2 linked regions of the Astyanax mexicanus genome follow. The protein of the gene in region 2 interacts with the protein of the main gene of each other region in a pairwise test. Links are inferred from orthologs where the notes say so. Each region holds a gene or a part of one and is shown on either strand. Other genes may lie near its edges. The genes, in order: batf3 and bach2b.

What was found.
Region 1: the proteins of bach2b (region 2) and batf3 interact in binary tests that used the Homo sapiens proteins (3 or more experiments, as listed by UniProt). The link is inferred for Astyanax mexicanus from reciprocal best matches to the Homo sapiens genes BACH2 and BATF3.

The regions. Positions count from the first base shown.
Region 1 is NC_064408.1:57,260,936-57,278,085, reverse strand, and holds batf3 (basic leucine zipper transcriptional factor ATF-like 3), read right to left. Parts: upstream 6,103-17,150; 5' UTR 5,887-6,102; coding exon 5,818-5,886; intron 4,601-5,817; coding exon 4,496-4,600; intron 2,082-4,495; coding exon 1,911-2,081; 3' UTR 1,264-1,910; downstream 1-1,263. Other genes in the region: putative deoxyribonuclease tatdn3, read left to right, coding at 14,091-14,147, 15,482-15,514, 15,602-15,675, 16,412-16,493, 16,577-16,639. UniProt on the Homo sapiens protein: AP-1 family transcription factor that controls the differentiation of CD8(+) thymic conventional dendritic cells in the immune system.
Region 2 is NC_064408.1:47,685,384-47,702,300, forward strand, and holds the start of bach2b (transcription regulator protein BACH2), read right to left. Parts: upstream 7,185-16,917; 5' UTR 6,821-7,184; intron 1-6,820. UniProt on the Homo sapiens protein: Transcriptional regulator that acts as a repressor or activator. Binds to Maf recognition elements (MARE). Plays an important role in coordinating transcription activation and repression by MAFK.

The sequences.
Region 1 (17,150 bases), about 9.6 Mb from region 2:
GTCCATAGGTTTCAGACTTCAGGCAGTCATTGCCTGCAAAGGATTCTCAACAAATATTATAAACTAAAATATATATAAAAATAACGTTTTATTTATGACAAAGGTCATTAGTCCAATTACTTTTAATCCCCTAAAATGAGGAAGCGGTAGAAAAAATGGTTGTAATTCCTAAATGTTTCATAGAATATTTTTGTTCAACCCCTTGGACATCTGCACTTGGACACTTGGCCATCTGCACTTTAACTGATTCTCAGTTGTTTCATCGCAAATCAAATGTGGCATGCAGAGCCCAAATCATCATGATTGTGCCACTATCCAAATATTATCTTAACTGTACAACAAGTATAGTCAGATTAAACTGTTCACTGTATTTTGAAAATGAGCAAGTGTGTAAACATTCACAGTAAACATTCAGAGTGAGGGGAGTTCACACATAAAGTTGAAATACATGTCACTAAATCCATCTGTCCTTTAAAACACACCTGTTGTTTTTGAAATCTCATTAATAATTATATTTGATATTTCGTTTAATATGTACTAGTACGTGTCCGATGCAGCGGCACCATTAAATATGTAACAGAAAATCACAGAAAAAGCAAGCATCTGCAGCCTATGTATTCTCCAATATGTGCCGTGCTGCTCATCTCCAAACTCTTCTGCAGTCTGTGCAGACCATGCTGACCCCACCTTCCCACCAATACCCTTTGGGGAATGACTACTGACAAAAAAAACTGTATTAAACCTCCTTGTGTATGAACATGTGGGACTGTGTTTCCAAGATAAGATTAAAAACCGTTCAGATTCAGTTAACCTGCTCTCATAAAGGTTTTTCATTCTGCTTTTACTTTTCTACAAATCAGCACAGTGTGAACTCCCAAATTACTTCCTTTCCTCATCAGGGATGTCTCTAGTGTATTTAACATGATGATAAATCTGTTTCTATAGAAATTCTATAGAATTCAAGGGAATGGAACCACAGTGTTTACATTTTCTACAATCACTGGGTAAAGCAATTACCAAATGCCTGCCCTTTAGTGACAGATTGGGGAGAGAGAGGGACAATATGAAACAGTACAGCTTGTCAGAGTCTTCTCAGTGTTCTCAGATTGTAATATACTGTAGAAACATTTAAAAACACAGCAGTGTGGTCAAAGTACAGTGTTTAGCAAGAACCTGTGCTCAATTAAATGGCCATTTTCTGTTGTAGTTTAGGGCTTATTCTGTTAAAGAGAGTTTTGATACAATGAACCTTTCCACACTAAGCAACTCTGAATAACTTTATTTAGACCTCAATGACATAAAATTTGGGAATTCTTCTTGAAAAATACAACCACTTTAAAATTCAAGTATCTGTAAAAATAGATTCACATGAGGGCAAACACACTGCACATCACAAGCATGTGAAAAAAATAATTAATTAAAAAAATTCTGTACATTCTATTCACAAGTAACTGTCACATATATAATGAAGAACTAGTGAACATGGTTAATAGTAGAGCATGACATCCTGAAACAAAGAAAGGATATTTTGGTCAAGCACTTTCAGTAAAGCAGAAGTGTTCCTTCTTGTGGCACTTAAACTACAGCGGTGCACCAAATAGACTGGTTTGCGGTTACATAGTGAAATACAGTCCTGAAGTAATAATTTATTTCACGTGAGCTGGAATACTATCTGACACAATGATGTTCCCACAGCATAAAAATGAAACTGAAATCTTGTTATTGAACACGCTTTTCTAGAAACAAAAACTTCTAGAGAATATTTTGATACGTGTCAAACTGCAACACTCATTTTCAAGCAGCAACACATCAAAAAGGCACAACATTAACACATTTAATACAAACTTAAATTACAAAAAAACATTTTGAGAATGAATACAGTAAATACCATCAGTAATTTGTTTGTAAACTCAGGGAGGAATTGCATCATTGGTCCTAGCTGCTGGAAGAGCACTGCTGTTTAGAATAGGGCACAGGGGCTCATGGGACTGGAGGGCCTCTGACAGACATTTCTGTTCCTCAAGCAACAGCTGAACCTCCTTCTTAAGCAAGCTGTTCTGCTGCTCCAAGCACTCATACGCCTGTGTGGAAACATTTTTAATCAGAACCGTTAAAAGAACACGTCAGACAATACATTTAAGGAGGTTACATTCACCGATGTAAAGTTAAATGTGATGGACACATTTTCTCCACATATCTCAATCACACATGCCTAGTGACAAAATAGTTTACTTCTATGTTTTTTTCACAGGAAAAACTTAAATCATTTTGTATCTGTACTTCTGGTTTCATTAACTGACACATGTTAAACAATCTTTAGTATGTAAGTTGCATGAGAGTGTTACATATAAAAATGAACAAAAATACATCACATAACTAAAACATTTAGCAGCTTCTATTTAGAATGTGACATGTAATAATTCCCCCGTATTTTACATTGAAGCGTCAAACATCAAGTTTTTAAAAACTGTTTTTTTCAGGAATAATAGACAATATCAGCAAACTCAATCCATATCTAATTTGCCATTATTTGTCAACTCAATGTGGTTTACACATTTGATTTACTATTTTAGTTTATCATACACAATTCTCTGTTTCTGCACTAGCTTCATTTGCCTTGTAGTGCCAGTGCACATCTTTTCAGTTTTTTTTTTCAGGTGCTAACATCCTTTTGTCCAATCTTTATTCACATTTTCAAAACTCTACATACACCTGTCTGTTATGGACTATACTCTTGATACAATTCATGTTGGTATTACACAATATGTATTCAATTAGCGTATTTCAACATGCTTACATTTTATGAACAAACAAGATTACCCACTAAATACAATTCCTGATCGTTCTGATTTTATTTACAATTTCTTGCCTATAGCATGCCAAAAATAAATATCTCATGTTCCAAACTCTAAATGTAAGACAAAACAGTTACTTCTGCAACAATAGCAGGTGTATAGCTTTACAGAACATTACTAATAATTAAAAGACTATGATAAGACAACCACAGCTGGTTCTGGATCTTAGCATGAGACATATAGCCAGGTGCTGTCACTGACATGGACACATAAGAAACGTTCAGAAAACGTATCTAAAGTACTGGTAAATACTTATTAGCGTTTGTAAAAACAAACTGTAACTATCAGTCACAGTATAATTGCTGAAGAAAACATTTAAACCCATTATTTCTTAATATTGCTCCTGGTAAATCAGGTACATCATTTTAAGTACATCATTTTAACTCAAAACTCCTGGTCAAACTGTTGTGCTATTTATGAGCTGAATCATGTGTTTTGGGGCCAAGAATGAATCATCCTGTTTAGGGCAGTGGGTCACCGGCAATAGAAACACTGTTTAAAACATACACAGTTATGTCTGTTCTTATTATTATTAAGCAAGCAGAATGATCTGGCAATTAAACCCAGAGAGATACACAGTTTTAAACCACAAAGATTTTCCCTGCAAGAAATTTGCAGACAGTGGAGAGTAAAGAGCAAGTCCCACTATATGCAAGAGTAAAGTCTGTGTAAAACACTGCAATTGTGAAAGCAATATTATATCTTAAAGATGTTCTTTTGGATTCAGATTTAGTAACTGAAATGGACAATCAAGAATACTGAACTCATATTCATGAGTAAAACTGCAAAAGTGAATTTTACTGTTCTTTTTTATAGTAAACATATGATCAGATCACTCATGACAGATGTAAACAGCAGGTATGCACTGGCCTAAGAGATTTTAAAAACAAACTTCTATGTAGTGTTTGTTCTTTTTTAATGAAATGCATAATCATTAAAACATCATAAAGTGCACGGTCTGTGAAGTTTCTTTAAACTTACAAAACAGCGGTGGGGAATGGCAGGACTGCAGATAAAAACATATGTTAAGCCTGGCAGGCAGTGGGTGAGCTGCAATAGGCCCTCCAGAACCAGACTTCCTCACCCTGAGTTAATCACACATTCTTTATTAAACATGGTTGTTTAGGTGGTTCTAATATTACAACACTTAACAACTCACGTGGCACATTTTTTTTAAAGCATAGCTTACTTGCAATCTCAAAGTTATTTCTTTAACTATCAGCCTTACTGTCCATCTTTGTCCACCCCTACTCGTCCAGTCCAGTCTACTGATCAATCCACTTCTTCTCCCCACTTCCAGTTGCTGATCATTAGACCTTTTTTCTAGTCTCTGTCTGCTATACCTTCCTGCAAAATTCTGAGCCTGACTTAGCTGTAAGAACTTTGTGTCTTTTTGCTTTGGCAACTTTCAGTGTGTTAATTAATTTATTAATTGTGTGTAGACCAGTAATACATTTAACACAGCCTGTGCTTGTCCTTCTTAAAAGTGAAGTACAAAATGCTTCCTCGGTCCGAATCCTGGTTTAGTCATCATGAGACCTGTAAGATGACTGTTCTCAGGGTAAGGTCTCAGTGTTTACACTTTAGAAACCAGGCTGCGTCAAAAATGTGATTAGTATATGCGTGCTGTGTGAACGCACCTCGTGCAGCTCATCAGCTCTCTGGGTCTGTCTTTTACGACTCCTCTGCGCCGCCACTCGGTTCTTCTCTCTTCTCTTCAGCCTCCTCTCATCATCATCAGAGCTCTAATTCATCATTCATTAAGACACCACATAAGCCCACGCACAATACAAGAGGAGTGTGTAGAAATTGTACATCTTCCCTGTGCAATGAAATACATGTATCTCCAAAAACAGCAACTTTAGGAGAGAAAAATTAAACCTTCTTAACTTTTAATAAAAGTCAATGTAAAAAGAGTTTATTTCATGCCATTTTGTAAAACTACGTAAAAAGTGTAAGGGTGAGTTTGTGTGTTCTAATTCGGTAAAAAAATAATCAAAAATGGAGTTTCTTGTTTTTCATTGGACAGCAACGACATGCAATTTATTTATAAGTTGCAGTTAGTGTAAACTCTGTCCAAAAGTAGCTCTGCATAAAAATACCTAGGTGGCACACACTGACCTTTAATGTTTGAAATTTGAATATGGTTGAAGTAATGTCTTGTTATTTCAATGTCGAAACAACATTGAAATTTTAACATTGAATCAAAATGTCCTCACCTTCAACCTTTTGAATTTGTTTGGAGTTGTAAAGTTCCTACTTCTTAAAAATGCATATTCAGAGAGAGAAAGAATAAAAATAAAATTGTTAATTTTTTAGCATGGCATCAATTTTTTCCCCTCTTCCATACAATTTTCAGCATCCTGAATGTGATCTAGGGTTTATTAAAGGTTGAACATATGATGCTGCATTAACGTTGATCCACTTTTCAAAATCAGCACCAACATTAACGTTGATTCAAAGTTAAAATAGAAAGGTAATGCCAACTGCATTTGATGCCAGGCATCTGTTGAAGGTTTATAAAAACTGGACTACACGTTTTGGTACATTTCTCTCTCCAGTGATTGAGCTTTATCCAGTACCTCTGCTTGGGGTGATAAGTAGCCACCAGTAGGTTACCTGACGTCAGAAATGCTTCAAATGCAATCAATCCCTGACAGCAGTTTTAGAATATTTAGAATATACAATTGAAAGCTGCAGCAAAGACTACAGAATCTGCCCCATTAACATCCTGACTTTGCCTGTCTGCTCACTTTTGGACATACAGAGCAGAGCTGATATGAAAAAGAACTGAATCGGCTACACTCTGTAGGGAGTGGCTTTTATAAGGTGAAATTAAAAGGTAACTTTAGAAACACTTCAGGAGAGTGCTCACACACACACACACACACACACACACACACACACACACACACACACACACAACAGTGAGTTACAGCTGGACTGAGTGAAGTGTTCCTACCTCGCTCCGGAGGCACGAGCGCGCGGATGGTGCATGGCTGGGGGGGCAGTAGTCTGGAGCAGAGGACATGGCAGTAACACTTCTCACACAGAAAACAGCAGCTGCTCCTCAACTCAGCGCATCTCTCCTCCCGGAGCTCATCCGGAGCAGTGGACCAGCGGCCTGCCGCTCACAGCTCTTACCGGTACTCTACCCATCACTCACTTTCTTCTAAGTCACGTGGTGCACTTGTTCAGGGCTGCAGTACCCGCAGCGGCCGGGCGAGGGCGCCTCTAACACAGTAACCCAGAGACCTCCAGTAACCTCACAGCGCAGCTCATTCACAGAACCAGCTACAGCTTCAGAGAACTCACCAAGCGAGGAGGACTGAGGAGGATTAGCGACATTACATCAAATAAAATACCATCAGAACTGTAAACTTCCATAATCTACTCGCAAAATATTTTATTCACAACCAAAAATGTTCAGACCAAAAGAGCTTTTCTATGTATTTCAGTTTAATCCATACCTGTCAAGTTTTAGATTTAAAAATAAGGGATATTTTCCTCTGTACGCTTAAAGTTGTCCCACCAGCCCAACGAAGGTTCAGTATCTCTTACATTTTAAGACATGTTTACAAAAAATCTAAAATAACCACATGTAAACCGCTTACACACTACAATTAGATTATCAGAATCTGAAATGTTGTGGACATTCCTACATATGTCATTCTTTTAATACAGCCAAATTAAAAACCCTTTTCTAGATATTTAAAAAAAAGTTAAGATTTCATCTCTTTTTGGCATAAATGCACTCTTTTATATAATATATTTTTTATTTATGTAATAGATTTAAAATTGAACAAAGGGTGCACAAATTCTGCAAAATGACTGTAGGTGACCTAAAAATAGTATCATGAGCTTTTACTAAAAGGACATAGACCAGATATATTCCATCAGTAAAAAATAGTCCTAAGGGGCCTACACAATTAATAATTTTTAATTAATACTTCTTTCTTTTGATCACTCCACCCCTGATCAGTTCAGATCATTTCGGTCCTCTCCACATTTCTAGTTAAGCTGAGTCACAAGCTGTAATTTTTTTATTTTAAAAGGTTTAATCTGTGTGTTTTATTTCGGAGACGAGTATTTTTAAGCAGCCATCAGAAAAATCTCATCACAGTTTACATGATTAGCCTACCGTTACCTTTCTTTTAGAAAAATCGCTGAATATCCAGATATGTTTTAACATCAGCAGCTCCGACTAGCTGCCTGAACTCACAGCGACGGGGGGGGGCTTCCCCACGCTGACCCTCCTTTGCAAGCTGATTGGCTGTTTCTCCTAAAAGGCGGGACTTTCTCCTTGAACCGGCTCCACGATTGGTTAAGAGACACAGAGCGGTAAGTGCCCTGTCTCCTCAATAATATATATTTTTTAATTTAATATAATACGGGAAATTTACGGGAAAATACTAATACGGGAGGACGGCGGGAAAGAGGAGTAAAATACGGTAGTTTCCCGGCCAAAACGGGAGACTTGACAGGTATGGTTTAATCCACTTCTCCGATCTTTAAGCATAATCAATAAAAAAAGAAGAAAGTTGTTCTGTTATTATGATTTGTTTAATAATGATGATTCAATGTATATCGATTAGCCTTCCTCAATTAATGTCTTATTATACCACAGTTAGTTCTGACCCTGCAATGTGATTGGCTGAGAGGCGTTCTATGAGTGTCGTTATTAGCCGGTAATGCACTGTAACAGAAGCTCTCCATGTATTACTCCACCACATACAGGTAACCTGTCAATGATGCAGCGCTTACAAACCAAACAGCACAGCAATGGTACTATTTTAACTTACAGAGTTAAATAATTGCAATATGCACTTGAGGCTCATGCTATAACATTTATATAGTATGGTAATATTGTCACTGCTGTGCTGTTCTATGTTACTCGGTCACTATAACATGGTAGAGCACTCGCTCTCGTGTATTGTTGCTTGTTTTTATTTATAATTTTGTTATCTCTCATATTGTTATGTGTTCTCTAATTCTGTGAGTTTTCCTGTTCCATGAGCATGTTGTATCCATCAATAATTAAGTCCTACCAATAACATTTTTTATCTGTCTGATGTTTGTATACTTGTTTGGTTGAATAAAAAAAAAAGATTTGCAACATTTCAGATCTACCAAGAACCACAATCTAGATCAGGTCAGCTGTGTTTAAAATCTACTGCTCTAATAATGGCCTTAGTAAAGTTGTGATGCTGAATAAAAAGACTTTCAGAGACACATTTCCCGCCATCTTTCCCTATCCTGTCAGCTCTCCATCATCTAATCCAACAGGATACCTTTAAAAAACTCAGCATTCGCCCTTCTCTGTTTAAGCTGAATTCAAGAATTTTAAAACATGCTGAATTACCTTTTTCAGAACAGGTGCAGATCCTGTAAAGTACATTTTAATGTCCGTGCAATTTGTATAAAAAGAAAACAAATATTTAAATAATTAAGTGTAACTCATTAATAGAAGCCAGAAATATTATAGAATATTTAATCTCGGTGGAGGAACTATGGCACGCTGATACCACTGACAATGTTAAACAGATATACTCTTACAACATAGGCTATTATATGTATTATATTTTTCTTCAAAAGCATTGGAACAGTGAGGTCAATTATTTCTGCTGTAGACTAAACAAACATTTGGGTTTGACATTAAAATATGAATCTGATAAACATTTCAGCTTTTATTTATTTTATTTATATCTGTATCTAATACACAGTTTAGAAGATAGCTGTTTAGATAACAGTTTAGAAGATGTCTGAACCCACCCATTTTCTTGTGAGCAAAGGTATTGGAACATGTGACTGTCAAGTGGGTTTTGTTGCCCAGGTGTGTGATTATTCAAACAATTAACAGTACTGAATATCTACACTCAGTTTCAGATTTGGGGTTTTCCTGTGCAGATTGTGCATTTATAGTTACAAGCAACTGTGAAGCCGAGAAAAGATGGAAAATCAATCAGAGCCATTGCACAAATATTGGCAAAAGGCAGTACAACCGTTTGGTCGTCACTGGTGTACTAAGCAAAAGATGTCGAACAGGTAGACAGAGGTAAACTACAGCAGTTGATGACAGAAACATTGTGAGTGCTGTAAAATAATCCTAAAACTGTTAGTAACATCAACAACCTCCTCCAGAGGGAGTGAAGATCTCACAATCTACTGTTGACAGAATAGTTCATTACAAAAGTACAGAGGCTTCACCAGAAGATCAAAGCACTATTAGAAGGATTAGCCTCACTGTTCCAATTTTGGAACAGGCACTGTATGTATTGTGTAGTACAGACATGTATAATATGTAACTGATGGGGGGTTTTGGGATGAAGACATTGCTTTGTGTTAATGTGTTTAGCTATACTTTGAAACTCTAAGGTCTTATATATTCATTAAAATATAGGGGATCAAATTCCTAATAATAATTATGTAATAATTAGATATATATTAGTAGAAAAAAACATGTTTAATCTACACAAATTCTAAACAATAAAAAAAAATTAATTTGTTTAGTTATTTCAGGCCACTGTAAACAGATCATAATAAGAGCACTACTTAGCCTTAGCTTTTAGAAGATGTTAGCAGTGTGGCATAAAATGTATTAATATTTGTCAATTAGTGAATTGTACTCTTTAAAACATCTTACACAGATTAGCAACAGGGTTACAGTTTCATAAATGAAGATCAACAACACTTTACTAACATTGATAGATGACTAATGGTTCCCTATGTTTCTTTCAATATTTATGCAACAATGGACAAAGATTTCAGATGTCACAGATGACTATTCACAAAACTAAAATATTTGACTTCACACAGTATGCATTCTATGTATTTAATTAATTAACAAACATTGATATCTGCATTATGCCTGCAACACTTTTCAAAACACTTAAAAATACTTTTAGGCACAGAGGGTACCAAGTGATTTAGTGTCTTAGGTGTTATGTTTTCCATTCTTCTGCAAACACCTCTTAAAGTGTTTAAAGGCAGTAAGTTGTCATCATCCATCTCTTTTGTTTAAAAGCCCACGAGCAGTGGAACTGTGTTCTCTAAAATGATGGTGTTACATTCAATAATTTGGGGAGGAGCTTAGGAAATGGGGGTAAGGTGAGGTGTTGATCATGCAACATCCTGACCTCACTACCACTCCTGTCCCTAAATGCTATCAAATACTCACAGCAATGCTTTTAAGTCTAGGAAAGCTCTGGATACTTTGCATGGACAGTAGAGACAGGTATTCCAACAAAAGCACTGCAAAGTCTTAAATTAATTCCAAAAGAAACAGTGAATGCACAAATAAACTTTTATCCATATAATGTCAATTATGAATTGTAAGCCATGTCAGCTATTTTTAATAGTATTAGGTACTTTAATGCTTAAAAAATAGCCAAATAGCCAACCTATAGCCTATATAGCCAATCACTGTCACATACTGATGATATATTATTACACTGTGTACAATCTTTATACAGTATTATCTTGGGAAATTAAATCAACACTGATTCTCTTATAACAACTGGTTGCAGTTCTTCCATGCAGAATTATCCAAAAAAAAAAAAAAAAGGTTGACTCAGTCTTTTTTAGCCAGTGTTGGAGTCTTCATCATAGGGACATAGTCCAGGCTGTATACTGTCTCAGATACAGCTCTTTTGATGGCCTGTTTACTAGCAGGTCCCCTGTTGCACAGGACTGGGCAGGCTTCACCATTAGAGCTGCCAAATATCTCCCTGTAGACATCCAATGTCTCATCTGAGGGTTGCATGTTCATCACCTGGTATAGACCCTCCGCTGTCTGCTTCAAGGCTTTCAATGACTGCAAATAAAAGATCAAGTAACATTGTTTATAAAAAAAAAAACATTCTGTTTTTTAGTCTATTAAACCAAACATGCTGTTATTAATGTAGCCTGTAAATACACTAAGGATAAATTATGATATTAGAGCAAGACTTAAGATTCGTCTGTCCAAAAAATATCTGGCAAACTAGCCCAACTAGTCTTGACGGACTTGATTTTACGATTCCATAATCTTCCAATTTCACACAGGGCTAATAAAAACTATTTTTTAAAAATATCTTACAAATGACAAGGCAACTTATTGCCCCTTTATTCATACTGAACATTTAAATTTAATTACTATTTTATTAATTATATTAATTAAATGCAAGTCTACAAAATTAACAAAATAATCAGTTTTCTGGATAAAATCAGTGAGCAGCACTGACTCCTACCTTTATTACTGTAGATGCTTGGCCGAACATCCCGGGAGCAGCAGCTGACACGTTATTCATGATGGCATCTTAAATAAAAACAAAACAAAATAAAAACAGAGGGACTGTTAAATTCTATAGCAATCAAACTACACAAAATGTGATAGATAAGTATATGAAGGCTAACCTTGAGCAGGGTCTCGTTTTATTTCTTGTGGCACAATGGTGTTTTCCAACAAACCCTAAACCAAATTCAAATCGTTTTAAACACAACTTAAACTTAGAGTTAAATTTAAATCTTTCTGACGACATCTTGTGGCTGGGTTCAGCTGGTACACATCACTGCAAACACAACACTTTTTTTCATGCAGTTTTATTAAAGGAAAACAACTAACCATGAGTTTTCGCTCAGCTTTTAAAGACCGCACAACGTATGGGAGAATTTTCTTTGGGTAAATGCTTCGCTTCCTGGTAGCCTCTACAATCTTTTCATCCAACATGTCATCCAATGTACTGACCTCACAATCTAGAGGAGCACAAAATAACATGTTATTTGTTAAATTCAATACATGAACATTATTATGCTTATACAACTGTTTAACCAGTAAAGGTAACAACTAGGTTACTATCATCGGCCAACCAGCCATTGGAGGAGAGAAAAGTTTCTGTGCACCGAGAAAAAAACGGGGGGTGGAAGAAAAAAAAAACCTGAGAGTGCTAGAAAGAGTCCCCACTCTCTAATTAAAAACCTAACTATAAATCACATATAATTATTAAACTCCTTCAGAGATGTATTGTATTGCATTGTTGTGGGACTTCAAATCCCATCTATGCTTTAAAAATATTTCCATAATAAAATCCATAATATTTAAGTTAAAATATACATTTTGGTTGTGTCCCTGGGTTTCACTCATTCCTGTTACTGTAACACATTCCTACCGTCTAAATCAACTGGAACATTCTACAAGTCACAACATCTACAACAGGAAGTGACTAAAATCACTAGAAAGTGATCAGTGTCCTCATGCTATTAGCATGTGCCAAAAACAGGAGTGAGTACTGTCCCCTGGTTTATTGATTTATTAATGTGAATTTTAGTAAATGTAATCCAGTTTTTGCATGGATATATAGTATTTTTTTGTCATAACAAACATACAGCCAAACATTTCGGTGGAAGGGCCCGCGTATATTTGGTGAAGTTTCGTCAGCAAACAGTGTTGTCTGGCTGTGAGGGGCGAGGGCTTCATATATAGCATTCAGTGTGAAAACAGCTTATTAACTTCTGAAGTAATACCGTTTCTCCGAAACACAGTACTTTGTTAGTACCACAGTTGTCTGAACCACTGACTTGAACCACCAGAGACTGAACTGAGGTGTTTCCAGGCATGTTCGGTCAGACTTTCCCATCAGAAAAAATAAAAAAAACTCACAAACTTTACAACATTATACTTGAATATACAAGTTGTGACCAAAATCATGTGTATATATCCCAGTGCACGTATAACAGCTATCTATAAAACATCATTAAAAAACAATTATTAAATTATTCCCAATACAGGTGATTAGTTCAAAGGGTTCAAAGCTCTCTTCTCATTGTTGAAATTATGCTCTCTTTTAATAAGAGCAATAAAAGTTCCCAGTGATGACGAATTGATTTCTGTGAAACCTAAAGAAAAAAGCACATGTTGTACCAGTGCAACCAGTACAAAAAGTAATGCAGCATCAATCATTTGGTTTACATACCTGCCCCATCTTCTTCTGCTGCCTCCTCCCATGGTAAACCATCAACAACGATGTTTTCTTGCACCACAAGTTCAAAATTCTAAAGAGCAACAAGTGACACTTTATTGGCATTGACTATTCACACTCGTTTTAACCAATCATTTATGTTTCATGCTTAACAATCTGAGATTTACTTATGAATTCCTGTATAAATTTAGATTCAGGCTAATCCTAAATAACTGCTGCTACTTCTGGAATTACTTATTACATTACTGTTACATCACTGTGCATCTGCCTCACTGTGCTCAGTCCTCAGAATCTCCTTTACTACCTGCTGTCTTTTAGCTACACCCAATAGGGAATTTCAGTCTGAAAATAAAACATCTTTACATTTTAAATTTAGCCACAAATGGTCAACAAAGTCAAACTGATAAGCGTTACACTGACCCTCGTCTGTTGAAGTGGCTAGAAAAATGCTTTTTTCTTTAGTTATTCTGTTACTAGCCGTGTGTAGGTGTGCTTGGCCTTGCTGTTACAAAACGAAGGTAAACGTTTGAGCAATGGATAATGTCTGTATACACGTACGGATGAGAGTAAGACAATAAAATTGGTACAGTGTTATTGTGTTGCTGTAAACAATCAAACAAACAGTCAAAAATTAATAAAACATGCGGGCTGGTTAAATGTCCTAATTTTACACTAGTTTAAATATTGAGCTGGTTTTCGGGTCGGTTCTGGTGTTACTGGTTAATTAAACGCTGTCGCTGTGCGTGTGTGAGGGAGCCGCGGGCGGGCGGGTGATGGTGCCCCGCAGTAAAGAGCGGCGCTGCGGCGGACTGTCCGCGCTGGGCGGAGGGGGAACAGGGGGGGTCTCGGGAGTCTCACCCTCAGCGCCTCCTGACTCAGCTTGTCCCGGTTCTGCTCGCTAAGCTCAGGCTGCTTCTCCAGCAGCGTCTTCAGCAGCTCCTGGTACCGCGCTATCTGCTCTGTAACGCGTCTCCTCGAGCTGACGGACACTCTGGGGTCCGGCTCTTTCTCCGGGTCTGAAACAGAAACCCTGCCCTCCATTTCTACCGCCAACTCTTCAAAACCACGCGTCCCACCAACATATAGCCGGGCGGAACAACAGAATACCGTGTACGTCGTTCCGCCCGGGCTCCATTCACTGAGACCCCACCAGCCGTCGCAGAGACGCTATACCGTCAGATTACTGCTCTAACCACGGCGTGACAGACACGAAGATCACTGAATAACAGTGGTCTTATGTGTAGCTCTGCTCTGAGTTTATTACGCTGTGAGTAGTGAGATGGATGAACCTCTGGTAGACTGCCACTGCCACCTGTCAGCTAACGAGTTCCTCCAGGTAAACAGGAGACTCACACTGCGCTCAGTGTGGAGTTAACTCAGACTGTCAGCTGTTTATTCAGGCTCGGTGTGAACCCGGTTTATAGTGAAACGGTGTAGAAAAAAAACAGCATTGATAATAACTAGAGGTCTGCTAAACTCTCTCTGTTCACCATGTGTTATACAGATTAATATATAAATCTGTGTTTAAAATTTCTTAGCAATAGTATCATCCAAAACCACCAGATTAACCCCAAAGAGCCTACAGTGACATATGTGTTTAAAAGACCATTTAAAATCTGTGTAAAGTTCCTTACAGCAGTCTCTGCTTTATTTTAACTCATGAAGAACATTATTAGTGACACATAGTGACACATATGGAACATCCTAGGAGCATCACTGGACAGTTTGAATCTTTCATCTTTCTTGTGTTCTTTCATCAGACCCTTATTTACAGAATGTTAATGTGCTGGAGCTAAAACTAACTCCTTTTAAAAGTGTTAAATGTTCCAACCATTTAACCATTTAGATGCTTTACATTTTATATAACTAATTCGGACATGATTTTCCTAAATATAAAGTAATGTGCCCACAATAAGAAGAAAAACATAAAAAAAAGCTGCTCCCTAAATTTATCTGATTCAGTTTAGAATTTGGTATCAATATTCAGAAATAGGTCCGGGCTTTTATGGGTTAACACCAAATTATAACGTGTTTTCAATGAATGCTAGTCAACCAGCACTACAGTTCTACACTCATTTTTAAACACAGCTCTGCACTGCTTCCCCAAAATTGTCTGGTGTGTCGCAGATGTTTGGTAGGTGTTGCCAGGTCACCACAAAGATGTCAGACCTATGTTTTTTGGCACTGCTCATGGCCTTCCTAACATCTCTAATGGATTATAGATGACTAAATTCTTACTTAAATCAACTGATTCAGTGGATTAAGCAATATCTGAATGTTAGATCCGGGTATATTGGAACTAGCCACCCCTGATATTAAGGAACACTTGTGAAACACGTCCTTTTATTTAAGTGTAGTGAGTCAGATAGCCAAGCCATGTTTGGTATGTTTACCTGGCACTGGAGCTTCAGGGCTTATGTAGTTAACAAGTAACAGAAGCTTTTCAAACTGTATGGCTACCTCCTCAAACACTTGTGAAATGGTCTAAATCCTGCATTACCCTTGTAACTGTAACATTACAACCACCCTCCTAATATTATTTGGGTTCCCTTTGGTCATAATGCATTGATGGTATTGTCTTTTTTTAATATAATGAAGTAGAGTTTAATAACCAGCTGCACTACTAATCAGTTACTACCCGTTAATCCTTAATTTTTACTGTATTTTTAGGACATGAATGATGTTGTTGAAAGAGCAAAACAGGTAAGTCCCAAATGACCTCAATTGGCATTTAGTTATGTATTAAAACTCCCTAATGATGCAATCTACAGTTGCTTCTGTAATTCACAGGCTGGGGTGAAAGCACTTATTGCGGTTACAGAAGGAGCCAGTGAGTTTGAAAGTGTAATTCAGTTATCAAAGGCGTAAGTATACCACAGAAGTAAAGATATTTATATTACAAACCTGTGTTCACTCTTTTGTCCAACAGTTTATCGATACTTAATTCTATAACTCTCGGTAAACTAATCACACACTGGTGAAAGTAAAAGCAAATAGCAGCTTTATTATTGAAAGGGTAATCCAAAAGAAAGTCAAAGCCAGACCAGGTCTTAAAGAAATGGCAAAACCCAATGCATGGCACAGAGAAGTGAACATATAAGCAAGGGTCAACTAGAGGGCAACATGGCTCATAAACAGAATTGAAAAATTCTCATAATTCACTAAGTAATAGTTTAATACTGAGAGAAACAGGTGATGTGCATCAAAACACTGAACAATATTGGATGGGAAATGTATAGAATGACAGAATCCTTTAAAATCAAGGGCATTAAACATTTTATAATTTATAGAAACAAACTCCCTTTGCAGCACTAAAACCGTGACTAAAACCACATTACTTGCTAAGAGAATATTAGTGAGGTCAGGAAGGCATGTTGGATTGCTTTAGTCACTTTACAGTTCCACTGCTCCACAATCCAGTGCTGGGGGGGCTTTATACCTCTTAATTCAACACTTGGTATTGAACCTGATCATTTCTGGACTGTCATGAGTGCCTCAATCTTTTGGTAGTTCATTACTCTCAGGAAAGGATGTGTGATAGCAATATATATGTTGGACATGTTGAGAATTGCACATTTTTACTTTTTTTTAATATAATAGCTACCAAGGCCTTATATTTCCATGTTTTGGGATTCACCCACTTCAAGGTTGTCAGCAGGACCTACACAGTGTGAGAATTCAGGTAAAGTATTATTTTTATAGATGTTGCTTACCAATTCTGTCCGCTGTAGTGTTTCTATCCTCATTGGATTTTGTTTTTTATAGGATTTGGAGCCAGTTCTTCCTTTATTCCAAGTGTTTAGAGGCGACCTAGTTGCTGTGGGTGAGGTAAAATATTAGTTCATCTTTCTTACTTTGACAATATTATTCAAACCTTTTTCACATACTTCATGTAGTTTTTTTTTTAAATAGAGTCAATATCAGTATCATTGAGTTGTCACTGAAATCACTGAGTGCACAAAAAAGCCACAAACCTCAAAAAAACTCTAGGGGATGCCTTAAAACAGGTCATTTTCTCAGAAGAATTTTGCTCAGTATTACATTTTTTCCTCAGTTGATATATGCAGTAGTTTTAAATAATTGCGAACTAGATTACACTGTTAGAAGTATAAGTTTCTTCTTAAGGTGCTTTATTGGACCTTTAAGAAAAGCTTTTTTTCCTTTGAAGTAAACAAAAAAAGGCAATTTACATGGTTTCTCCACAGTTTTTTCAATTAAAGAACTATTAAGAGTTCCTAAAGAAACAGTCAAGTAAGAGGCACTCTGCCAATAGTGTGTGTCTATGTCTTAATACCCTTATTCTCCCAGTAGGCACATGGAAAGTCTGGAAATGAATAAC
Region 2 (16,917 bases):
GTGGTATAATATAGCTTAAACCAACATATGAGTTTTGTAAAGAAGAAATCGGGGACATGCACAGGCACAACACAAGTCCACCATTAGGACAAAAATTTTGGGACACACACATAATAGAGCCCTATGTTAGAGATCTATAGATGAGCCGGCAACCTTGCAGCGTGCCCCTTGATTTAGGGCGTGTCAGTGTGTTTTTCGTATTTGAGTTTTGCATGGCTCAAAGGCATGTACTAATTCTCTTAATTAATGAAGGAGAGTGAGCAGCTCATTTACGAGAACAGCAATGTTACTTTATTTTGTATTCTTATTATCATGTCCTCATGTTTGTGTAATGAGCAGGGATATACCCACACTGAGCGCGCTGAGTGCACTGCGAACCTGCGTTACCTAGATAGCAATGAACATCTGATGGGTGACTGCAAAACGCCAGAAATTTACTTGAACTCACCTCATTTCCAGACCACCACACCCATCAGTGTAGATATACTTATATACTTCAAAAACCTTTATTGACATTGCTTTTTAAACCCATATACATTAACACTGCTCCTAGCATCTGCACTGTAAACTTAAGAAGCAAACTACAGATAATAAACTTGTCGTAGCTGTCTTAGGTTGTGATAAAACATGTTCAATATTCCTTTAAACTTCTATAAAAACTGACTCCTGCTTTTAGTATTCTTAGCAAATATCTATATATTAAAGTACAGTTTTAAGTTACTGTACAAAACTGTAGAAAATTGGTTTTGATCCCACCTGCTTAAACGTGATAATAAACACAGCTCTAGTGATCACTACTAGGCGTCTCTCTTCCTCATATACACAGACACACACACAGGCTTGCTCTGATTCCGGGGAGCTGTGTTTAACTGCGACTTGTGTGTAAGTAAGTCGGTCTGACTGATCCTTTCACACAATTAGACGCTAATGAGTGGGGGATGAGCCTCTGATAGGCATTAGGGGAGAGTGAGGGAGGGCACACTCAGCGGCGCTGATGATCTGATCTGAAAGGCTTTTTTTTTTGTCGTTTTTTTTATAGATTTATTTTGAGCCCTATCATATTCTGATACTTTGTTATATGCTTCTTTATTTCCCTGCTGTCAGCAGTGAATTCAGCTGATTTATTTACCGGTCACCTTGTGTTTCCCACTGTCACTTTAACAAACGAGGGGAGAGAGATAATAATTCATATAGTAAATGCTTTCAATTTAGTCGTCAGCACTGAAACTAATAGCTTGTAATATCTGCATAATTGTGACTGCAGTTAAGTTAGCCTGTGATTCCTGACAACAAGGCTAAACTAGTTAGTATGTTCACACACAAACTGGCTTAACTAACTGTAATTGTGTGTGTAGTGTGAACTGTGTGGCAAAATATTGATTTTATATCAGATGCTTATCCAACATAACTGTTCATAACTTCATTGAGCAGGGATCAAACAGTCATGAAAAACCTGGAAAAGTCATGGATAAGTTTTGGAAAAATAAAAATACCCAGAGAGTTTTGGAAAAGTCATTGAAATTAGGTTCAACAAATCTTTGTGTTTCCATTCAATAATTTTAAGCTTACACAATGGAGCTCTCAGGATCTGCCACACATTTTTTTTATTAAATATTGTTTGTCAACATTCTTATCAGAGTCATTTTGGACCTACTATATTATTCATTTTAATTATAGTTTTAGTTGATTTTTAGTTTTATTGTTCATGTCTGCACTGATGCTTTAAAAATCGTATGGTCAAAGAAAATTTGCCTTGAACACATGGAAAATTCATGACAAAATAATGGAAATTTTTTGGTTAAAATGTGTATGAACCCTGAGTGAGTGTATAAACTCATCACCCACAAGGAATTAAGCATCAAAAGTGAAATGTGGTGGGTAGTTGTGCTAGACAATCATGTAGAGTGACTCAGAATCATCTGTAGTGACAAGTGTTGCTTCTTTCTTTGAGGAAACATCCAACAAGTTTATGCGTGGAGGAACTGTGGTCTGTGCTATAATGCGCCAACACAACAATGCTCATCCACATGCTGAAGATTCAACATCTAAGCCTAAAGACATAGACACTTTGCCACAAACTCTGCTGGAACTGTATGAATATTAAAGTTGCACAGGATGTACTATCGAAGCACACCATTAAGAACCTCTACTACGACTACAAACCACAATGTCTGTCATAATATGTATAGAATTTATTATTTGTACAGTCATACACATACAGTATGAATGATATGGGATACATTTTTACTATCATTGTATATAAATAAACACTAAATGTGTGCAAGTGTGTGCGGCGCAGGGCACTGCACACACAGCTGGTCCTGGCAGTGATAATAGCGTCTGGTTCCGAGTGGTGACTGATGATGCCAATGGGCATGAGTGTCATCCTAACACAACGTAAGAGAGGAACAACAAAAGCCCTGTCTGAACTTCAGGAGCTTCGCACACACAGCGCACACACAGCACACACACTCTCGCTCCCTCTCTCTCTGTCAAAATCTGGAGCTCAGTCAAACATGCCATTGTGCTGACGTGGGATGGCTATGGGAACATGTTTTCATACCCTAGGCTTGTGTTCTGAAAGAGCGCTGGTGGGCTTATTCAAACAAGCAGGACAGGACAAAAACCATGCCTTTAGCTAGCATTTACAGCTGCACCACACTCCTCTGAACTTTACCACCGCACTGTCCGGTGCAAAAACAAGCTTCATTAAAATATGCATTATTTTTTGTGTGAATCTAACATGCAACGTGGAGATGGAACTAAAGATAAGACACAAGCACTGAGCACTGTCGACGTGGAACTCACACCACTGCTCTCCTACATGCAGTCATTCACTGTACGGAAATTCAAACATCAGCTGTCAGACGGAGGCAAACAGTACAGTGTGTTCTAAATCTAAACAATGTCCACTTTCCTTGCAATACCTTAATATATATATTTTTATATATTTTTATAGATGTTTGCATTTATAACATGAATATCAATTATCAGTTGTTGAGCGCTGGTTACAGATTGCACAAAGAATAGCACAAAAGCAAACACACTCTTAGCTCCTTTACACAGATGGACAGTGGAAAGGCAAAAAAATAAATAAATGCTCTGTGTAATGACAGTAAGCTCTCCCTAGGTAGGCACCTGCCAGTCTGTGATGAAACATAATGTAGGATATAGGACATATGGGACATACAGGCACTTACAATAAAGAAATAAAGGAGGTAAAAAACAGGTTATGTGCAGTTTTATTACATGTGAATGAAATAAATGAGGTAAAACACTGTTGTGGAAAAACTCAGTTTTTGCTGTATTTTACTTTTTTACTTTTTTTTCTTTTTTACAGTCGGACAGCTGTTCTCATCAATGTATATTTCATGAAGAATGGACCAATATGATGAAATGCTCCAAAATGATTTGTAATAAAATCTTTTTTTTTTACACTTCCACAGATACACGTGTATCTAAAGGTTCATCGGTTCATGAACAATAAACCTGACGCCAAAGTATGAACATAAGACTCACCCACAAAACGTTTACATTAAAACGTTCATAAAACCTCTTTATAGAACAAATTAAGCAGTTTTATTGTATAATTCTAAGATACTCCTCCTATTATAGGATATATAACTGTGTGTTGGTGAATTTATGAAAAATAAAACATAACGGGGATTGAGTTCCGTCTCTCTGCGCTGAGCAGACAAAGGAATGCAGGCTGGAACGCGCTGTATCTTTTTTCTCCACCTGTTTTCAGACAAATCCCGCCACCTGGGCTTCGATTGGAGGGATGGCAGTGATTTCGGCCAATCACAGCGCTGTATGCAAATACGAGCGCTCGAAAGTACCAAGAGTACCGGACATTAGCCAATTGGGGCACGTAGTGGGCGGGGCCTCTGCGGAAAACAGGTGGTGGCGGGGTGGAAACAACAAGGCAGCGTAAAATGCTGCATCACCGCATTGGTGAGGGAGGAGAAGGAGGAGGGGGAGGGGGAGGGGGGTGCACAGTTTTGGATGGGAGCAGAATTTCTTACAGCACCAAACAGCTCTCGTAGAAACGTGTTTCCCCCAGACTGTTCAAACACGGGCTCGCGCTTAATCGGATCAAATCGCGACAAGAAGATCGCTAGCGAGCATTGTATTAGCATAGCAGATGCTCCTGAAGCTTACGGGAGCGCGCGCGCGTGTGTGTGTGATAACTAAAGGCTAACGCGGGCTAATGTTACATTCATACATCCTCCCAGCTGAAGACAAAGCCAAGTCATTCATAACCAGCGAGCTCACGGCTCTCACAGCCAGCAGCCAAAAACACAACGGGGGGTGTTCTGTCGATTTGTGCTACCCATCGATTTGTGTTACTTAGCAGCTCGGCGCATGCGCTAATTCTCATTTTTATTACTATTTTCACGTGTTTTGGGTGCATTATACAATCTGAGATCACTGCCTTTTTTTGCTTGAGTGAGATATTTTTTACAACCGTGTAAAGTAATAATTATGCTAATATAAACATAACAAAAATAACTATAGAATGGCTTCCAATTACATGTATTGCCTTAATTCTACTCTGATACAACGATTTAGGCTATTCCAATATCAAATCGACACTTTTACAGCGAGACTATTCGAAAATATTATTAGGATATAGTATTTCTTTTTACCTTTAAATACACTAGGGTAGCACGGTTTGACAAGGTAGCACAACTCGACAACACACCGGCGCTGTATTTACAGAGAGACGAAGCGCTTTCATCAATGAAACCGAATTAAAACGACACGTCATCTGAAAGTCGAAGGTTTAATTTGACCACTATGATAATAAGATGACTTGTTTGTTTACAACCAAGTCCACGCTCCAGTCCACGCTGACTCCCACAACTCCAGCGCAACCTATTCCTAAACTGATCTCCAGTCAGTGATCATTCAGCTCAGATTCCACGCCTCAGTTATCAGGAAACATGCGATACTGATTTCGGTGTTTTCAATGTTTGTTTGGTGTGAGTAACATTTCTATAGAGAGACCGAGAGTGTGGAAAAGCGGACTCTGCTGCTTTAAATGGCACCCTCGGGCAGCAGGGCTGCTGCTGCAGCCCCCCTTACACAGCAGATATTTCTGCTGATATTTGTGTGGATTAATGGAGGGGGGGGGGAGGGGGCGGGGGGGGGGGGGGGTGTTGTAATGCGGTGGCTCCGGGTTGGAGAGCGTGTGTGTGTGTGTGGATGGCAGAACAAAGCCAGCCGGCGGAGAGCTGCTTTTCTGCAGCAGCAGGATAAGCACATTCCCACAGCACAGGACTGCTGCTGCTGCTTTTCACTGGGATACTCTTGCGAAAACAAAAGTGACACGACGGGCTGATCCCTCCATGTGCACAGAATACAGCAGCCCTCATTATCATTAATGATGATGATAATAAAACAGTTAAACAGCAGCGCTACAATAACAGCAGCAGTAGTAACTGACTTAACTGACTGAGTTACTGACTGTAACAATACTAGTGGCAATAATAATAGTAATAACAATAATAATAATAAAAAATATATATATATATATTAAGTTTCGTGAAAATAAGATGAATAGTAGCAGGCTATTACTAATAAGAATAGTAATAGTAATGCACGTGGCAGTAGTAACAATAATAAGAAAAAGAAGATCCAAAATATTACCACTACTAATACTACTACTAATAATAGTAACACTAGTAGTAATAGCAGCTTCAGAGAAAATAACAGTAGCAGTAGTGGTTATAATAGCAGGTTATCAATAGAATCATCAATAATGGTAATGGTAATAATAAAAATAATAATAATGATATAATACAGTAGGTTTCGTGACAATATCAATACAATAGTAGCAGTATTGGCTATAGTAGCAGGCTATTAATGATAACAATAGTAACAGTAATGCACGTGGTAGTAATAATAATAATAATAAAAAGAAGATGATGAAGAAGAGTACTACTATTACTATTACTAATAGCAGTACTAGTAGTAGGAGAAGGTTCAGACAAAAAATAACTGTAGAAGTAGTGGTTATAATAATAGCAAGTTATCAATAGTAACACCAGTAAGGGTTGTGGTTATAATAACAATAATAATAATAATAATAATAATAATAATAATAATAATAATAATAATAATAATAATACAATTAATAATAATAATAATAATAATAATACATGATATTACTTTTCTTTAAAATACTTATTATTAAAAAAACATTTTAAAAATAATAAATAAATGATGATGATAATAATAAGCCGGAAAAGGGTGAACTAGACCCCCGAAGAAAGGGAGTGGGGGGGTTGGTCCGTCTCTGTGTGTGTGCCACTTGGTCGGTCAAGGCTTCCGCGAGTGACAGCTTCTGTTCCCTTCACGAAAACAAGGGCCATGCCTGACACCCCCACCACCCCCACCCCTCCTCCTAAAGCCCCTCAAACCCCTCCACCCTTCCTCCTCCTCCTCCTCCGGGATGGCAACGCATCCAACTCCTGCTCAAAAACAGGCAGCCGGCCGCTCGAGCTCAGCACAACAGGATGCGGCCACGTCCCACGGCGCGCGCTCCTCGTTCACGTGCACCGTGCTTGGTCAGGGTGGTCAGTGCAATGCATGAAGACACGGTTCCCTTCGCTCTACTCCGAAACTCGACCACCCCCTCCTCTCTTTCTCTCACTTACTCTCTATCCTACTCTCTCTCTCTCCTGCAAAAAGCACGAGTTTCTAACTGCATTTCTGCACGAGGCGATATAAGCAGCGACTAGAGCTCGAGCTGAGTGAAGTGCAGAACCACAAACAAAAAAGACAGAGACAGAACACGCCAGTCGAGTCCACTTACCTTCAACTTCCCTCTGTTTTTCTCTCGTAATCCAGCCCGTTCGTGCGCGTGCTTCAAAAAAAATCAATGTCTTTCACATGATGACTTCCTTGCAGACTCCTCTAAAGCCTCCTCGTGCAGGAAGATCAAAGCCTGCACTCTTTCTCTCTCTATCTCTCTCTTCGCAGAGTCAAGTTTGGGAACAGAAGACCCCTCAGCGTGCACGCGCGCGCGTTTTTGTGAATCTCTCTGTTGATGTGCAAGAGTGTGTGTATGTGAGTGTGCATACGAGTGCGCGCGCGTGTGTGCGTGTGTGTGTGCGCGCGCGCGGTGATTCCGTTCAGCGTGCAGCTCCTCGTCTCCTGTGTTTGGTACTGAAGCTCTACGCCTCCCCTGCTCTCTCTCTCTCTCTCTCTCTCTCTCTCACTCCGCTACCGTTGTTGACATTCGCCAAATGACGTCACCTCCCCCTGCCCTCATTCACACACATACACACAATAAAGCAGCGCGCGCGCGCCTGCGCCAGCCCCCCCCCCCCCCCCCCAATATAAACAAACAATTCACCGAATAAATAAATAAATAAACACATAAACATGTGGCCGGTGGGCCGGTGCGCGCGCACAGCGGAGTGAGGAGGACGCGGCGTGTTTTTCTGAATCGACAGTTCAGTTCACTACAGCGACACGACCCGGGGGGCGCGCCAAAACCAGCGAGACAACACGCGCGCGCAAACCCGCTTAGAGAATCAGCGTTACGGAGCAGCGCTGACGTTAACTTACTACCCCTGTCAGACTCACAGATTACCCTAGTAATAATAATAATAATAATAATAATAATAATAATAATAATAACAATTTGCATTTTAAAAAATAAGCATAAAATCCATACAAACATTGTTTGTATAATATTACCATATTATACGAAAATAACTATATCATACAGTAACACAACATTTACTATTCGTATAGTACAATGAAAAAGTAAAAATAATAATACAAAATAATAATTGATATTTGAAATAAACAAATAATTCATACATAAGCATACTTATTTTATCATAATTGTTATTATTTAAATGCTAGGAATAGTATACGGTACTGTACTATATAACAGGACACCACCATAATTATTTGTAATTATTTTTAATAAAAACAATATCAAAGTATTATTATTATTATTATTATTATTATTATTATTATTATTATTATTTTATCTATTATCAATTACAGTTATATTGACTGTGATTATTGTTATAAAGAATAAATTTAATATTTTTTATTTGAACATTATGGCTGTCCTTATTTAATTTCTAAATTGTTAGCTGTTTTTGACTGTAAATAACAACAATAAATGATGGGTTGTTACAACAGTGGATAAAAACAATATTAATCAATTAAAATGTTTATTTTAGTTCTGATTACTAGTTATACTGACTATAATTGTTACTGTGATTTATATGGAAATTACAGCTGTTTTTATTATTATATTTAAAATTGACCTGCTGCAGAATCTAGCCCCAGACCAACTTTCGTTGGTAGCTGGTTTCAGATAGTCTATGCTGGTCACCTAGGTGAAAACATATTATATGCTAGAACGCTAGACCACTTAGGAGTATATAGAGTATATATTGCATTTGATTTTGGTCATGCTTGGCCATGGAGGTCAAGCTGGTTAAAAAGCTTGGTCATGTTGGTCATACTGGTCAACCAGTTTGATTTTGTTGGTCAACCAGCTTGGTGATGCAGGCCAGGCTGTTTAACTAGTATTGTTAAGCTTGATCATACTAGTTGTCTAGTGTGGTCAGATTGATCAGACTTACAAATATACAGTACTACGCATTTAAAACCATAATGTTTACTAATGTTCATCTGTTCTTTTTACAACAATGAAGAAAAACAATGTGATAGAGGAGGTACATATGTGTGGGTCTGTGTGTCTGAGTACAGTCTTCTCAACACAGCCTGGCTTTGTTCTGAAGCAGCCCACACAGCACAGCCGCTCTGGGTGGGAAGAGTTTCATTTAGAGGGGAGAGCTCTTCCCCTGGGGAGTCTGCACAGAGTCTGCACTTGGAGCATTCATACAGGAGTGTATGTGTGTGTGAGAGAGTGTGCTTTTCTGAGCTAAAGTGTCCTCTTACTGTTAAGAGGTATGACTTATTCTGCTATTCTGAAAAGTGTGATATTGAGTGGAAAGTTATTTTCTATTTATGGTTAACTGTTTAAATCTAAATTCTACTAATTAATACCCAAAGGATCCAGACACCCCTTCTAATGAGTTCAGATATTGTTCAAATGCAAAATTTAACATCTTATTTAATCTTCATAGGGTGCTGTCAATAGAATGGGGCACTCTGGAGGAGCCCAACCACACAATGACCAATGCTGTGCAAGGGCTAGAGGGTTAAATGCCTCCAGCCTTGTTCTGTGGAACAGTGAAACTGTATTATCTGAAGCGACAGAGCTCCATTGAGTTCCCTTAGCAGGAGTTGGAGTGGCATCTGTGATCAAGAACTAATGTAAAATCAATACTTGACTTCACTTAAGATCTATTGGCTCAATGCAATCAAATGCTTTAAAGCAGTGTTCAAAAATCTAGTGCAAAGCCTTCTTGGAACAGTGTAGAACACTTATTGACAAAACAATTGATAGTTGAATGTAATAATGATATTTACAAACACAAGCACAAGGATACGGGGAAAAGTATGGAAAATGTACAATTTTAAAAGCTATTAGTACACGTTTTGGTGCCTCTAAGCTGGAAACAAGATAAGCAATTTTCCACCAACGTAGAACCGTTTTGGCTACAAACCTAATTTTTAACTGTTTTGCTGCATTTTCACCAACAAAAGTAGATTCCAGAACCAGGAACATTAATTTTTAGCAGGAATCAGTAATACTAGGTTCTTCAGTGCGAATCGTGACTGCTTCTGTTCACCGCCGCTGTGCAACACCCTCTGTTGTGAACGTATGTTGTGACGTTTTGATGGTTCCACTAAAACTGGTGGAGCACTAAGGCTGGTTCGCTGAAAAGCACCACGGTTCTTTTGGTGGAAAAGCACTAGATAAGATATAATTGGGCATAGAGACATACAGATTATATATGGCATTGTGCAGCACTCTTGCCCGCAGATGTTGCAGCTGGCCCTGTAGACCCTGCTCTACACTTGCTAGTTGCCAATGCTGGTGTTCCAGCTGGTCACATAAAGGCTAAAATGGTAATAAATCTGACGACTGAACAGAACCTGGAGTTCAGGTTTCTTGTTCCTGCCATCACTGAACATAAAGTTGATAGTGGCTGGCTAAATTATGGCCTAGATTTCATTTAATTTGATCGCAATGTTCGAGTCATGGTGCTCTGGGAGCTCTCTCCCCTCATTACTTCCAGTGTGATGCTGGCTGGCACAGGCATCTGATGGCTAGTGTATTAAAGCTGGGGATCTGGTGCTTTCTACTGAAGGTTCTGACTACCTAGTGATATTTCAAAAAGAGACGGTTGCTGACTTTGCATGTACTGGAGGTGGAATGTATTAGTCTTTCTAAAAAGGGACATTTTTAATGTTTTAATTTTTAATCTTAATGGAGGTCATTTTATTATTACCTTTTTGTGATTTAGAAGAAAAACACTGTGTGCATAAGCAGCAACCACTTACACACTTTTACCGCACTGCACACACCCCATATTCCAAACCCAACACACATACACATAGATGGACAGTTGAAGTGGCATTCCTGCACTCTCTGACCTTTCCTTCAGGGAATTCTGTCAGGGGCCCGGAGAGACTGGAGGGCCGGAGGACAAAAACAGATCCATACATGTGTGTGTGAGAAAGAGAGAGAGAGAGAAAGAAAGAGAGAGAGACAGTGGGAAAAAAACATAAGGAGAGTACTGTGCTATACATATTCATTTCTAGTTCCCAGAGGAGCCACATTTTAACCCTTGATCTCAACCATACTTAATAACTGTCCATTAAAGTGAACCAAACTTGCAGTAAAATAAAAGACAGTTTCGGCACCTTTATTTATTTATTTATTTATTTATTTATTTTATTTTTTTTACAAAATACACTGTTAAGGTTTTAATTTTTTTAAATATATACAAAAGAGAGCAACTATAGTTATGAGACAAAGAACCATAGCAATTGCTCTAGACTATACAGAACACTTGGAACATCGTAGTGCATCCATCCAACGCATTATGGGGCTATAACTCCGCCCACAGCTGTATGCATTTTAATAAACTTGTATATATGGATTAAATATGTATGTCTAACATATAATTGTAACATATAATACCATATAAACATAAATCCAATAGATATTTATAATATATGTACATATACACATTTTTATGGATAGAACATGGGCCAGATAAAAAATGTAATATTTCTATGTTTGAAACTAGTTTATCTACTTACTGTAGAAAGCTAAAATGTATCTTTTTTATTAATTTGGTTCTTCCGATCCTAAATGGCTGTCAGGGTGCGGGCAGGAAGGACGAGGAGAGCGGATGCAAATGCGAGTGAATTTATTACACAAATAACAAAAGACAAAAATAAACAAATAAACTGAAACTAAACTGAAAACAAGAAATATGGGAAACAGAGACGCAACCATAACAGGCTAACAAAGCACAAGAACCGACACGAGGGAAAGGGAGCACGGACTATAAATAGTGTAACACACACGGGAAACAGAAAACACCTGGGGCTAAGGGGCGGAGTTACAAATGAACACAGGTGAGGGCAAGAAACACTGAGGAACACGGATCACGTGGGAGACACACTCACAGTCACAAGCAGAGACAGGCACAGAAAAGGTAAATAAACACAGAAACACGAGAACAGACAGGGACCACGTGACAATGGCAAGAATAATTTTTAAATGTTAAAATAAACTGCTGTCCCCATATGAGGACATTGTTTTTTTTGTTTTTGTTTTTTTTCGGCAAAATACAAAGTTTAGTTTTTATACTTTTTAGGTCCTACTAATCCTAAATAACTATGAGAAATGAAAATGCACACCAAACAAAAATCAAATGCTAACACTAATGTTTAGGGTAGTAACAAACATAATATATTATATTTTAGTGTGTAAACATTTTCTATATAAAATTTCCCCCCACATAAATTTAATCCCATAGAAAATCTTTACAAACTAAAATGTTTCATGTCCACTTTAATGCTCTTTTCTGCATTAATGTTGCATAGATAGATAAATATATATATATATATATATATATATATATATATATATATATATATATATATATATATATATATATATAGATAGATAGATAGATAGATAGATAGATAGAATTAGGCAGACAGATAGATAACTTATTAATCCCTAAGAAGAATTTTAGAAAAAAAATATATCATATATAAAAAAAAATATCATATTGTAACATCTGCACTGTTACACTAATAGCATGGGTGTGTTAAGGCAGGTCATCGTGTGCATGTGCTGTTGTTTCCCGCCCACCATGGTGGACAAACACTTGCATTTTTATGTGAAGAAGTGTAATTAAGGGTAATGCAAACAGCATTCACTGTGTCTGAGGTTTAGAGAGAGAGAGAGAGAGAGAGAGAGAGAGAGAAAGAAAGAGAGAGGTCAGACAGACAGAGACAGATGCACTTCCACACACAAGGAACATCACTGGCCAACTGACCTCTTGCTTAAAAGACTTGTGCAACACACCCTCAAATACTAGATGTGTAACACAGTGCCAATGCCTGGATCTGAATCAGTGCTCACACAACATGTCCAATTCTGTGTTGTTGGAGTTAAACTGGAAGTTGGTGTAGCTTAAACCTGAGATTTGTAATATTTTAGTTACTTAAACTTCACAAATACTGTAAAATCTTCAGGAACTGTGTGAGAATATTTAAGCTGCTTGATATTGATTATCACAGGGCGCCATTAGGAACCTCTACAACTCCATGCACAGATATCTGACATTTTTCATTGGATTTTTGCTTGGTGTGCATTTTAATTTATCCTAGCTGTTTAGGATTAGTAAGACCTAAAAAGTATAGAAAATTAAATTTTGTCTTTGTACACAAAGTAGTTTTGCCCCCCCCCCCCCCACCCCCCCCAAAAAAAAACAATGTCCTTATATGGGCAGTTTATTTTAACATTTAAAAATTATTTTTGCCATTTAGGATCAGAAAAAAAACAATATTTAAGATTTCTACAGTAATTAAATTAACTAGTTTTAAACTTAAAAATATTTGTTTTTATCTGGCCCAAGTTTCTGTTCATAAAAAGTGTATATATAGATATATTATAAATACCTATTGGATTTATGTTCATATGGTATTATATACTGATTATGCATTGCAGTCTAAATTAATTAATTCTGGGCTAAATTCACATTACAAACCTCATTAAACAAATTGAGATTTTTGCTCAGATCAGACTATATCATTCATAAATATATGTGATTTGTATCTGCGATATGTGAAATAATCTGGTAATTTTAATGTACCCAGAAGAAAAAAAAAAACTTTTAAATGTGTCCCTCTGACTGGATGTCCCAGAGTGAGAGGACATGTAGAAACTTGTGCACTTGTGAATGTGAAACATCACCCAGTCATCACTTTTCTATTTTTTTTATCTCACAACATCAAGGTAACCTAAGTTCAATGCTGAGGAATCGAGGAATCATCACTGTGCTAAAATAAGGGACTGCTGTGTCATTCATTCAAATACAAATTCATATTCATTCACATAAAAGTATGAAAAAAGTAACTTTAAAGTTTATCAAGCTGTCTGTTAGGAATCATGAGTTACACACTATTTTCTTATGAAGTAGTTACATGTGAACTGTAAACTTTGAGGAAACTGTATTTCTCACTCTGTAAATTATACAAAACATTATTTTGAAAGGTTTTAAAGTTGTGAAAGTATTAAAATGGCAAAACACTACAAAATGCAATGTTTCCTACATTGACATTGACTTTTATTTTACTACAGACAGTACAAATCCAAATAATTATGTTTTGCCTGCTCAAATGTCATCTATAAATACAGTTTACATTAATTCCTGCTTTTCAGCCCTGCAACACATTCCTGAAAAAGTTGTGACGGTAAAGCATTTACCAATTTTAAATGTTGCAATTCCCTAACTTTTAGAAAAAAAAATTTGGTTCTAAGAATGATAACCAATTAAGGTGTTAACGATTACCATTGTTCCTGTAAACTAGTGATGTCAACTGAGTAAAAAAATGAATACGTTTAATCCCGACAATATTCTGTGATTAACTGCGATTATTAACACTTGTTTTTCTTCAAATGCAAGTTTTTATAGTGGATATTTAAATGTAAATAAAAGAACGAATGTAAGAAATGTAAAATGCAATTATATTTATATTAGTTGTGTCAATTAAAATATTAGTATATACTTGTATGTTTGAGCAGAGATAAAGCCAACGTGGGGCACTGGATTAAAGAATACATGATACATTGGACAGAGAAAACTTTTTATTTTACTTTATTTTGAACATCTCAGCTTGGTTCTAAGGATTTCTGTATTAGAACTTAATTTGCTGAGTATAAAAGAGCGTTTTCACACCTGTAGTTGGTTTCTATGGTCCGGATCAGCACAACAATAAACCATGTGAGAACATTGTCTCCTCTGATTGGCCAGAGCTGTCTGGCGTGGGAGCAAGAAAGTAAATATAGCGAGAAGATTCTGTGTTCCAGCGCGTTGATCTGTGCTGCTTTATCACAGAACACTGAAAATTTGCCCCTGCGCTTTCAATCAGGGTTTTTAATGGGATGAGCAGCAGCAGAGCCAATGTTTGTCCATATCAGTATATTATCTGGATAATAAAGCAGATTAAACTGCGCCTTATTAGCAGTTTAGCTTAATTAAAAAGAAGTATATTTGATAGCTGCATCAGATCTAGACCAGATCACATTCTCACCACAAGCGAACAGCTCCAGAGTTCATTTTGGAATGGACCATGAAATCTGTGCATTGGATGGGGCGGGGCAGATTACGGTGAAAGTTTGGGTCAAACTTAAAAAAAAATGCTGATTTCAAATTAATCAAATGCATTGGCAACCCTACTGTACTTTTTAGCACTTTCTAAGGGTTCAGGACTGCAGAAAGCCAGTCAAGTACAGTATGTGCCCTGTTTTTCTTCAACCATGTCTTTGTAATGTGTTTTTGCATGTGGTTTTGCATAGTTTTTTTTTAATGCATGGAAATCCCTAGAAATTATGTTTTTATGAGGACGGCACATGTTGTTCTAAGATTTAAATCACAGAAATGTATTGACACAAACTCATATCATGACAGATCCTGGCATATCCTGGCATTTAGACTGGCTGCTGATAGCAATCTAGTTGGTCGTATATTTCTTCGGCCTCGAGCACATTGCATTTTATTTTTTCCCAAAAAAAAAAAAGATCTTGAGAACTGATTTATTTGTATGGTTCCACTGTATGATGGTCTGTCCCAGCTGAATCTAAGCCCAAATATTAAAATATAAGTTGTGTATGTTTCTCTATATGGTTAACCTTAAGCATTTGTGAATGTATCTTTCGTATGATGATTTTCGGAAGAGTATTGCACAGACATCACAAAAAAATGGACAAGAGTATGGACAAACCTCAGGTTGTGAGATACTACTACTGCTACTACTCTCTTGGAAACCACAGAACTCAGTGCGGTTGAAGGTCTGTGTGATGACTCAGGCATGATGCTAATAGGTGGGGCATACTTGTCTATCACGTTAGCATTTTGTAGCTTTAGCGCATAACTGCACAAGAATATACTATAAAAATATCAGACTATATAAACTGTATCAGTGGATCTTTATACAAATTGAAGACTCCGTATTGCAGTTTGCTGCACTTCTTTGCGCGACGGTGTTTCGACAACTCATCCAGCACATGTCAAATCCTGTAGCCGCTGAAAGATTTGACTCATAACACTCGAACTCGGCGTCAAATCAAAACAGTCAACCCCCCTGCCACCCTCCACCTGAAACAAGATGAACGCATCCCCGTCGGTCACGGAGTCATGCTTCAGTCAGCGATGACTCATTTCGTGGGGAGATTAATTGCCGTTGCGGTCGCATTGAGACAACAGCGTGCCAAGAAAAAGGGAAGGCAGGCCTCGGCAAAGGCCCGAAGACGCAAAAGGCAGCCGCAGAGGCCGGGGTATGCCAGCATGGGTTCGGGAGCCAGAGACCATGATTACGTCAATGAGCGCTATAGAACGCTAACCGCCATTCACAACACAGGCAACTTGCTTCAACTCATCCAGCTCAGGTTACCTGTAGTGCAAGCAGCTCCCTTGGAGTCAGACAGGTGTGTTTGTGTGTCTGTGTTTGTGTGTGTGTGTGTGTGTGTGTGTGTCCCACACCTACACACAAACACTCACTTGCGTGGGCACAGAAGGGTTTTTCACAAATGCTTAGCCTTAGAATAACTCTAGTTTTTTTCAGTCTGCAGTCAGTAGATATTCCCAGCAACAAGTGGCATGGGCATGAACAAGCTAATCCTGCTTCCAACAACCAAGACTTTTGGAAAGATACACTATGTCCTATGAAAAACACTTATCTCCATTTTTGTTGATTTTTAGTTTACTAAAATGTGTAAAATCCTCAAAGCCCTGCCTTATTGGCCAATACTTTCAAATAAATTTGTTTTGAAGCACACTTTTACTTGTCGTCGCCGTCCAATGAAAAAGGTGCATCTCCAAAGCAGCAACTCTACAGGAGAGAGATAAAACCTTCTTAACTTTCAAAGGAAGTCAATGTAAAAAACATATCTACTTTAGGTTTTTTTAAAGAACTTCTATTTGTCCATTTATCAAGACATTTTCTAAGGGACAGTTTGTGTGTTTGAATTATGCAGTAAATTAAGCTTAGAACATCAAAATGTAGCTACCAGCTCTGTGTGGACCCCAGGTGGGTTCTGAGATGTCTAGTAATGATGTAGAACTGTTTCACTGCAATCTGTATCTATTGGAATATCTTTTTTTTTACTTTATTACATATTTTTAATAAGTTTAGTAGTGTTATTCTGATACATTTATTTTATTTGCTGCATCATTACTTGTTACAATTATAAAAATGTTAGGAATCATTCCAAACCCAGGGAAT